Linked DNA regions of Caenorhabditis elegans. The gene in region 1 interacts genetically with each later gene. Each region holds a gene or a part of one and is shown in the gene's direction. Other genes may lie near its edges.

Region 1 (5,827 bases):
AAAAGTTTTTGGTCTTAAAATTAAATTTGAGTTATTCATGTATTTTAAGCTTTATTTTAAGCTTTTTGAAAATTTTTTGGTACTTGTGTATTGTGTCCCCAAATTCAAAAAGTATTCAAAATTTAAAAATCTCATTAATTGCTTTAATAAAATTAAACATGATATCTATAATATTTTGATCGTTTTGTTGAGAAACACGTGGTGCCAAGCTCCCATTACGGTTTGATCTACTAAAAATGCGGGATTTTTTTGCCCACAAAACGTTACGTCAGTACGTTTTTAATCATGTAAAATCAGTTGAGAACGCTGCGTCTTTTCTCCCGCATTTTTTTTAGATCAAGCTTGAATGAGATACTCTGACACCACGTGTAGAAATAGTATTTGCCAGAACCTTATATTTCAAAAATTCAAAAATAATACCCACTTTCATATAAAAAACTTTTCAAACTGTGGGGATAACATACAGAGATACTTCGTTTTTATATGAAATTTTGTGGATTTTCAGTATATTACCAGTTCTTTATCATGGAGGTAAATGTGAGCCATATGTCATTTATTCTTGATCCATCCATCTTTAAAAGCTTCACCTGTTGCAAAGTGTAACTTATCAAATTGAATATTCACATCATGCTCATTCCCGAAACGTACATTTTTATATTTTCCAGTGTTTTTCCACCCCTCTTTCCGCCCTCATTTCTCGTCGTTCTCTCTGACTCACGTCATTCTTCCTTATCAATTCTATCACTAAATATGCCAAAAAGCAAAACTCTTTTCATCTTTTCTACATCTCACCATCTAGCAGTGACTCAGGTAACACCTACTTTTCCGGTATATAAATGTTGAAAGAGTTTAACTTTTGGAGCATGTCACAATCACCACACCCAGTATGTTCACACACCCACGCACCCGAAAACGACTCTTTTGTTGGGGGGGGGGGGGGGGGGGGGGGGGCTTCCGCGTGTTGGACACTAGTGTTTCTTTGTTTCATTTTTTACTTTTTACTACTATTTTGGCGTTTTCTTTCTTTTTTTCCATTTCCTCCTGCCCACGAAACGTTATCAATAATCTCGTGATTGTTTTGAGAACGCGATAATTCTGAAAACTGCATATCTCTAGAGGCTCAACTGATACTGATATAAATACCGACTATAAATCTAGATTGAGTATATATTATTTTTTTGGTTCTAGATTCTTCCAATCATTGTTTTCCTCCTCATTTGTATGTTATGGCAATTCCCGCCTCTCGATTCCTCCAAGCGATTTTTGTATTGCCTCTCCGTCTCCATGTCATACAAAACCGTCGTGGAACGAGATGGACAACGAGAATGTGATTCCCCTTTTTTTGGTTGTAGGTGCGTGGGTGAAAGGACGGGCCGCAGGGGCTACTGCATTTGTAATTCACAAAATTTCGATTCCACACTCTCTTCCTCGTCTTTCTTTTTTCCTTCTCCCCCCCCCCCCCCCTTCTTGCATTTTTTCCTTAGTTTGGTTTTCGTTTCACCGGGTTTCACAGACTTATTCATTGCTCGAAAACTAGAAGAATTTCATAATTATAGAGTACACTTTTGGGTTTTGCAAGTTTGAGCGAATTTCAAGTTTCGCAAAAAAGCTGATCTATCTAGAGCTTACACCTGATAGTTCAAAAATTTTCTTTTTTGTTCTAATAATTTTCAATTAAAAATTGAATAATAACTAACAACATGTGCCACTTGGGGGAAGCAACGATCTCCTTTCGAACATTAAAAAAAATCTTGCCATAACTTGCCCATAACCTAAAAATTTATTTGCAATGAAAGAAAATGTTTCCGCCTTTCTGGTTTTAGGTTAGACTTCCTTCCGGCTTTTCCAATTTCCCAATTTTTTTGCGTCGCCAAATATGACAACCTTCTCCTTTTCCAAGAGCTCCGCCCATTAATCAAAAGGACTAGATATTTCTGAATTTTGAACCAACACTTCTCACGCGTTTATTTATTTTCCCTTTTACCGAAATACTTCTATTAATTTTTTCTGTTGTTGCAGAATCAGGATGGCACTTCACGAGCCACCTTCCAAACTTAATAGGCACTCTCATTCAAATTTATTAAAACCTCCGTCATTAAATAAACCAATACTGACGTTTGCTGACAATGATTGCCTGAAAACGCCAACTATGAATGATATGCTTAAGGTGAGAAGTTACACCTTGAATTGTCTGAAACTAAACCATATTCTTGCAGACACCCACAGTAAATTCACCACGACACACACCGATGAATATTGACGGGACGCCTAAAGTCAATGGATTTTCTGGATTTACTCCTCAAACCGATCAGAAATTCTTTGGCGAGCACGAGCCACTGTTCAACCAAATGCACACAACAACACTAATGCCGGCACCATCATCGTCATACAAGGAGCCAGCTTACAGTAGTGAGCAGCCGTCTAGCTCTTCGGATGAGGCGAAGCCTAAGGAGCTGCTAGGAAGTAATAGTTTTGGAGTACCGCGCATGACGAACGGGAACAGTAAGCAGAAACCAGAAGAGTTGACGTTAAAAGATATTGAGATCAGTTCTACAGGACCGGGTGGTGTAGATTCTCCAGGTTTGTATACAAAAGTTTTGATTTTGAAGCCAACTTTAATGAATTTTCAGGCTTATCTGCTGCCATGTTCCAGTTTTCGCCAATGGTAGAACACTTTTTGCAAAATCTCACTAATAAAGCAGGCCTGCCAGAATTAGTTGTGGACTCTAAAACAGCGGGATTAAACCATCAAGAACCATCCGATTTGATAAAGGTACGAGAGTGTGTGCCCACACTGAAATATATATTAGAGTATTTTTTTAAATTACGAATAACTGAAAATACTGTGTCTAAAAAAAATTAAAATTAAAAAAACACACTTTTTTTTTGCTTTCAGCGTTCATTCTCATAATAACTTATGAATTTATAATTTCAGTCTGTCCAAGTACGGAGGAGCTCGATAGAGGATCAAAAATTCAGTGATGTTCTGCATGTGCCGACACTGCCACGAAAGACAAGTGAACCATCGCATCTTGGGTCTTCTCTTCAAAACGAGCATCCACAATCCAACTCTCGACCGTCTACCGTAATCCCACGAGTACAGAGGACCAACACGTCAGCGAGCCTCACAAGATCTATGGATCATTCATCAATGTCGCCAATTTCTGCGCATGATGACCCGTATTCCAATTCAGCAAGCTATTCTAGTCTCTCGACTCATACGTCATTTTCGTAAGTTGAATAGGTACAAGCTGGAACTTTTAATATTTTACAATTTTTAGAGACAGCGCTAGCTTGGCACATTTCGAGCCAAAAACCGAGCCAATGGATGACTACAGCTACAACTTCTCAGGTAACTTTATCGCAAAATTTCGTACATCAAATATTCAATGATTCAGATAATGACTTCAATTCCTTTGAGTTTTCATCCACTTCTGAAGAGCTAAAGAATATTGGCTGCCAAAAAATGAAGGTATGTATTGCATATATTCATATCTTTAGTACTAGTTTTCAAAGAAAATTGTATTTCAGTCCTCAAAGATGCCTCTCCAAGACAGACCGTACAAGTGTCCACGAGATGGATGTGACAGGAGGTTCTCGAGAAGTGACGAGCTGACGAGACATATTAGGATTCATACAGGCCAAAAGCCATTCCAGGTACTGAGCAACTAGTAATCAAAAATTCAAAAGCTGTCAGAAAGTTGTTGTGTTGTTTTTGTTTTCAAGAAAAACATGTTTATTTTGAGCTTCGTGCAGAAGTAGAAAAAGTATTTGAAAGACTGTGGAAATCCTAAAATTGGTTTTTTTTTTGTTTCAAAATTTTTGGCAAATAAGTTTCAGAAAAATAGCTCTGATGAGTCATTTAAATTTATTTTTTTAAACAAATATGAAAATCTCCATCGGAATATATGGTACTTATACAGATAAGTACTACTGAAAAATACTGGAAAATTCCATAAAGTGGGGTAAAAAAAAATCAAAATTTTGATAAACTGAACTTTCGAAAAAAAATTTTTCAGTTAGCACGTTGTTTGGCTATAGGTTTTTTAGTATTTAGTAAAATTCTAGTTTTATAAATGATAAGTGTAATTAACTAGTAAGACTCTCCAAAAGGACGTACAAATCACGAAAATATGCGCGGGAATTTTAATACGTTTTTTGATTTCAAGCTGATTTTTCTTTCAATAAAACTTAACTTTTTTGTTATAAATTTTGGTTTTAATACTACTTCTTCAAGAAAATGTTGTAACCCTGCTGTAACGGTATAACTTTAACACGAAAATCTCATGTCTAGTTCAAATAAGATTATATCATGCATATCGGAATTTATGGTATTTATGGTAAATGGAATTTTTCAGTGCCGAATTTGTATGCGTGCCTTCTCCCGCTCGGACCATTTGACGACCCACGTGCGCACTCACACTGGCGAAAAACCATTCTCCTGTGACATTTGTGGCCGGAAATTCGCGCGAAGTGATGAACGAAAGCGGCACACGAAAGTTCACAAGACATCGGTAACTACCCGATCTTACCACAAACTTCAATTAATTTGAGTTATTCAGCGTTCAGGGTCATAACAAGCACAAGATGAAGCGTGGTCCTCCAATGTTTGAATAATCTGATGCTGCCAATCGATACAGTTCTCTGTTTTTTCCCCTCTTGACATTTCTAAATCGTGTAACTCTCCTTGTATTCTTCCTCCGACACACCGGTAATGACATTTGCGAACCGAAAGACAATTTTTAAAGTTTTATTTTTCAACGATCTGAGAACCATTGTTTTGTTCAATTTACATATATTTAGCGTTTGAATAGAATTCTACATTACTCCATCCCATCGCTAGTCCTGGAATCTGAAATGGAATCTAACAAGAAACCTAGATCTCATTATCGATAGATTTATTTTTTTGTGTTTTTTTTTCAATATTTTCCGCGTTCAGCTCCACAACCTCGCTCAAATATCATAAAAACCTCTGGCATTTTTTTCATTTTTTTCTCGAAAAATTCTTTGTCTTTTTTATTTCTTGTATTTGTCGTATTAAAAATTAAATTACCTTGATTCCTGCTCCTCTTTATTCTGGTATGACTTTTGCACTCTCCCTAACAGAAAAAACACAATGTTTTAAACTCTTTTGTTAAGTTTTGATTTCGTTTTTTACTTGTTTGCCTTTCGATTTCCTTCCCCATGAAAAACCTCAATTTCTTTTGACTGAAAAGTTTCAAACTCTTAAACCAAGCCGTATACTATATGTTTGTGATTTAAAGAAAAAGTGTACCTTGCATAAACTTTTAGGAATTTGTAGTTTCTTGATGCAATTAAAAATTTTGAAAATAATCCGTGCTCTGATAAGGAAACTTGAAAGCTGGTGAAGAAAAATGATAGTGGGTATTGATTTTTTGATTGCTGCTCTCGTTTTTCATCATGACTGAAACTTCAAATTGCTCCAGCTCCAGTTCTGAATATGAAGAAGAAGAGGAGAGGATTGTCCTTCATGTCTATGATGATGAATCCAAGGAGTTTACGTCACTTACTACTTATCATGGAATGGTATGGATTATATAAAAAGAAAAAATAACTTCAGCTCAATTCAATGATAAATTTTATAATTGGTTTAAATTTGTTTCTTATTTAGCTCTGAAAAGCACTATCCTGATCCATTTCACCAGCACATCCCCTTTTTTCAACTTTTTGGCAACTTCGTGGGCGCGCCGCAGCAATAAGAAAATAGTTAAAAAAAAATATCGCTATAGTTTTTTCCACATTTTGATAGTTTTTTTTTTTGCATTTTTTTCGTAAAAGTAGACTTACACTAGGGTAAATCGGAACT
Region 2 (3,460 bases), on another chromosome or scaffold:
CAAAAATTCTTCACTAGCGTTCCAATTACTGATTGGGTCCGCAGACTTTTTTGCCATTTTCGATCCCCTATGCTGTGATGTTTGTAAACTCTTCGAAAGTATTTCTATCTCATCGAATATACCAAGAAAATCCTGCATGAGTTTCTTGCCTGCCCCCCCCCCCCCCCCACTGGTTTTTTTTCTGCTCCTCAATATCAGTTGGTACTCTCCCGATGATTTCTGAACATCTTTCCGCCCTCACAAGTGCTTGCACACATAGACCAATATCAATGAAGATTAAAAAAAAATAAATTAATTTCAAAATGTGGAAAGAAAATATTAAATAGCCTTAAAAGATGTATAGCATATGTCTGCTCAGTGTATGTTCCATCACACATGTTCGCATTAGTGCACAACGGGGTGATTTACAAGCTCTGCCTTCAATTAATAAGTATATTTTTCATTCTATTGAATTTGAAGAATTGTGAGCATGTAAGATGAATTCATTTATTGGAAACAAATATGCACTATTTTTAGATTCCGATTAATACAGTGAATACGGACCATCATATATAACTTATTATTTATTTATTCAAATACGTTAGATTCAACATGAATTAAAACATATTGTAGTTTTGTTAAAATATCCGTTTAAATTTAAAAAAAACAGTTTTATGCCAAATATAAAATACAGTCGTCTTTAATCGCATTCTACAGAAGCTATTGAAATTCCAGTAAATTGTTATTGGCTTTAATTTACCTGTGCATTATTTAGGTCATACCATTTTTACGTATTCATTAAATTTACTCATCTTTACCTGTTCGCCCATCATCTTTCTAAAAGTTATTGTTGTTTTCGTAAACCTCCCACCCTTCTCGTCATAGACAAAAAACGTTGCCACATATTTCTTCTCACCTCCTCTCTCGTGGACTCCTCGCCTTCGCAATCGGTCCGATCACTGAGAGATCGTGAGGAAATGAAGAGAAAAGGGAGGGATAAGATAGCTAGAGGGCGTTGTGGGCTCTGGCCAATACGAAGAACTTGGCAAGAGGGATGCTCCCGTGGAAAGAGGGAGTTTATGGGTGGAGTCTTCTCCCGCGGGTGTCTGGATCCTCTCTATTTCTCATAGTCACTAATTCGTTGTGTAGTCGGTGAATCCAATACGCAGAATTGTCTTTCATGGCACAGTATAAAAGCAACGGTGCCCAGTTTTACAGAGCTCACTCATCTCCACGCTTTCTTTCAATTTCTTTTATTTACTCTTCGCTATTTTGCAATAAGTTTTGAACACTTTTTTCAAATACAGCATTTTGATAAGCGAACAGATAACACCAGAGATAAGACTATCACTGAAGTTTCGAAAGTATTCCTTCCTCCATTAATGCCTCACACCATAGATAAGAATTTTTAAAATAAAAATCGTGTTCATGACTCACCCAATGTATTAGTCACGCCTTATTTGATTTTGTTTTTACCACCGCCCACCTGATGAATTGTCCCACTATATATATAATATATATTCTGCTCAATACTATCACCGTTTCCCCACGTGTTCTGTGTTATATTATCAATTTAATTTTTCAGGTACATTAAAAACTAATCAAAATGTGTGACGACGAGGTTGCCGCTCTTGTTGTAGACAATGGATCCGGAATGTGCAAGGCCGGATTCGCCGGAGACGACGCTCCACGCGCCGTGTTCCCATCCATTGTCGGAAGACCACGTCATCAAGGAGTCATGGTCGGTATGGGACAGAAGGACTCGTACGTCGGAGACGAGGCCCAATCCAAGAGAGGTAAATAATTAATACATTCGATGATTAAATTTATGCGTACTATTTCAGGTATCCTTACCCTCAAGTACCCAATTGAGCACGGTATCGTCACCAACTGGGATGATATGGAGAAGATCTGGCATCACACCTTCTACAATGAGCTTCGTGTTGCCCCAGAAGAGCACCCAGTCCTCCTCACTGAAGCCCCACTCAATCCAAAGGCTAACCGTGAAAAGATGACCCAAATCATGTTCGAGACCTTCAACACCCCAGCCATGTATGTCGCCATCCAAGCTGTCCTCTCCCTCTACGCTTCCGGACGTACCACCGGAGTCGTCCTCGACTCTGGAGATGGTGTCACCCACACCGTCCCAATCTACGAAGGATATGCCCTCCCACACGCCATCCTCCGTCTTGACTTGGCTGGACGTGATCTTACTGATTACCTCATGAAGATCCTTACCGAGCGTGGTTACTCTTTCACCACCACCGCTGAGCGTGAAATCGTCCGTGACATCAAGGAGAAGCTCTGCTACGTCGCCCTCGACTTCGAGCAAGAAATGGCCACCGCCGCTTCTTCCTCTTCCCTCGAGAAGTCCTACGAACTTCCTGACGGACAAGTCATCACCGTCGGAAACGAACGTTTCCGTTGCCCAGAGGCTATGTTCCAGCCATCCTTCTTGGGTATGGAGTCCGCCGGAATCCACGAGACTTCTTACAACTCCATCATGAAGTGCGACATTGATATCCGTAAGGACTTGTACGCCAACACTGTTCTTTCCGGAGGAACCACCATGTACCCAGGAATTGCTGATCGTATGCAGAAGGAAATCACCGCTCTTGCCCCATCGTAAGTTTTCTATTTTTGTTTCAGTTAACAAATTAAATTGATTTTTTTTCAGAACCATGAAGATCAAGATCATCGCCCCACCAGAGCGCAAGTACTCCGTCTGGATCGGAGGATCTATCCTCGCTTCCCTCTCCACCTTCCAACAGATGTGGATCTCCAAGCAAGAATACGACGAGTCCGGCCCATCCATCGTTCACCGCAAGTGCTTCTAAATGCACAACTTCGTCAACTTGCACAAACAAGTTCAAAACCATCGTCACCACCAGCTTTCTATTTCTTGTTTGCATATTTTTGTGCAACAAGGAAACATCATGCATATTTCCCAAAAAAATAAAAAACCGCCCCATTTTTGTCCTTATTGTCCTTTCACTCATTTGCGGGTGTGAATAAAAATTTAAAAATTGATATTTCTAAATTGTCTATCAGCACCATTAACAGATTCTTGAAGCACTCGCCGCCAAAAAATGTTACTGTTTGAGAAATACGTTGAAGACAGTTGCGACATGAGAGATATTTGAGTGGGCGCAGAGCGATTCCGAGAATCGCAACGTTCGTGAAGATACTGCTCGTCTCTCGAGAAAGAAAGCACACATTCCATAGTTTCTTCTTATTCCCACGGCGGCGAAAGCATCTGTTTACACAACATGCGGAGGCAAAAACGACGAGAAGCGTCGAACTGATAGGAAGAAAACAGAAAATCTTTGAACAGGAAGGGAAGTGTAGGCGGTTGTATGATAACTTCCGTACGGATAATAGTTTTAAATGTAAACAATGTTAATTAAGAACACAAACTTCTCCATTGATTCAACTCTGCGAGAAAAACGCAAACTTGTTTAAGTTTTAAGTTTTATATGTA

Evidence for each region. A genetic interaction does not mean that the proteins touch.
Region 2: of egrh-1 (region 1) and act-1, changing one enhances a phenotype caused by changing the other (phenotypic enhancement), as found in Caenorhabditis elegans (one study listed by BioGRID).

Annotation. Positions count from the first base shown.
Region 1 is NC_003284.9:14,843,918-14,849,744, forward strand, and holds egrh-1 (Early growth response factor homolog 1), read left to right. Parts: upstream 1-2,019; 5' UTR 2,020-2,026; coding exon 2,027-2,167; intron 2,168-2,216; coding exon 2,217-2,580; intron 2,581-2,630; coding exon 2,631-2,773; intron 2,774-2,935; coding exon 2,936-3,231; intron 3,232-3,281; coding exon 3,282-3,352; intron 3,353-3,398; coding exon 3,399-3,472; intron 3,473-3,531; coding exon 3,532-3,657; intron 3,658-4,358; coding exon 4,359-4,514; intron 4,515-4,562; coding exon 4,563-4,577; 3' UTR 4,578-5,300; downstream 5,301-5,827. Other genes in the region: acd-3 (DEgenerin Like), read left to right, coding at 5,422-5,547. UniProt on the Caenorhabditis elegans protein: Sequence-specific DNA-binding transcription factor. Plays a role in oocyte development, acting cell-autonomously in the somatic gonad. Involved in negative regulation of oocyte MAPK activation and inhibits oocyte maturation and ovulation.
Region 2 is NC_003283.11:11,079,488-11,082,947, forward strand, and holds act-1 (Actin-1), read left to right. Parts: upstream 1-1,564; 5' UTR 1,565-1,585; coding exon 1,586-1,775; intron 1,776-1,823; coding exon 1,824-2,604; intron 2,605-2,656; coding exon 2,657-2,816; 3' UTR 2,817-2,928; downstream 2,929-3,460. UniProt on the Caenorhabditis elegans protein: Actins are highly conserved proteins that are involved in various types of cell motility and are ubiquitously expressed in all eukaryotic cells.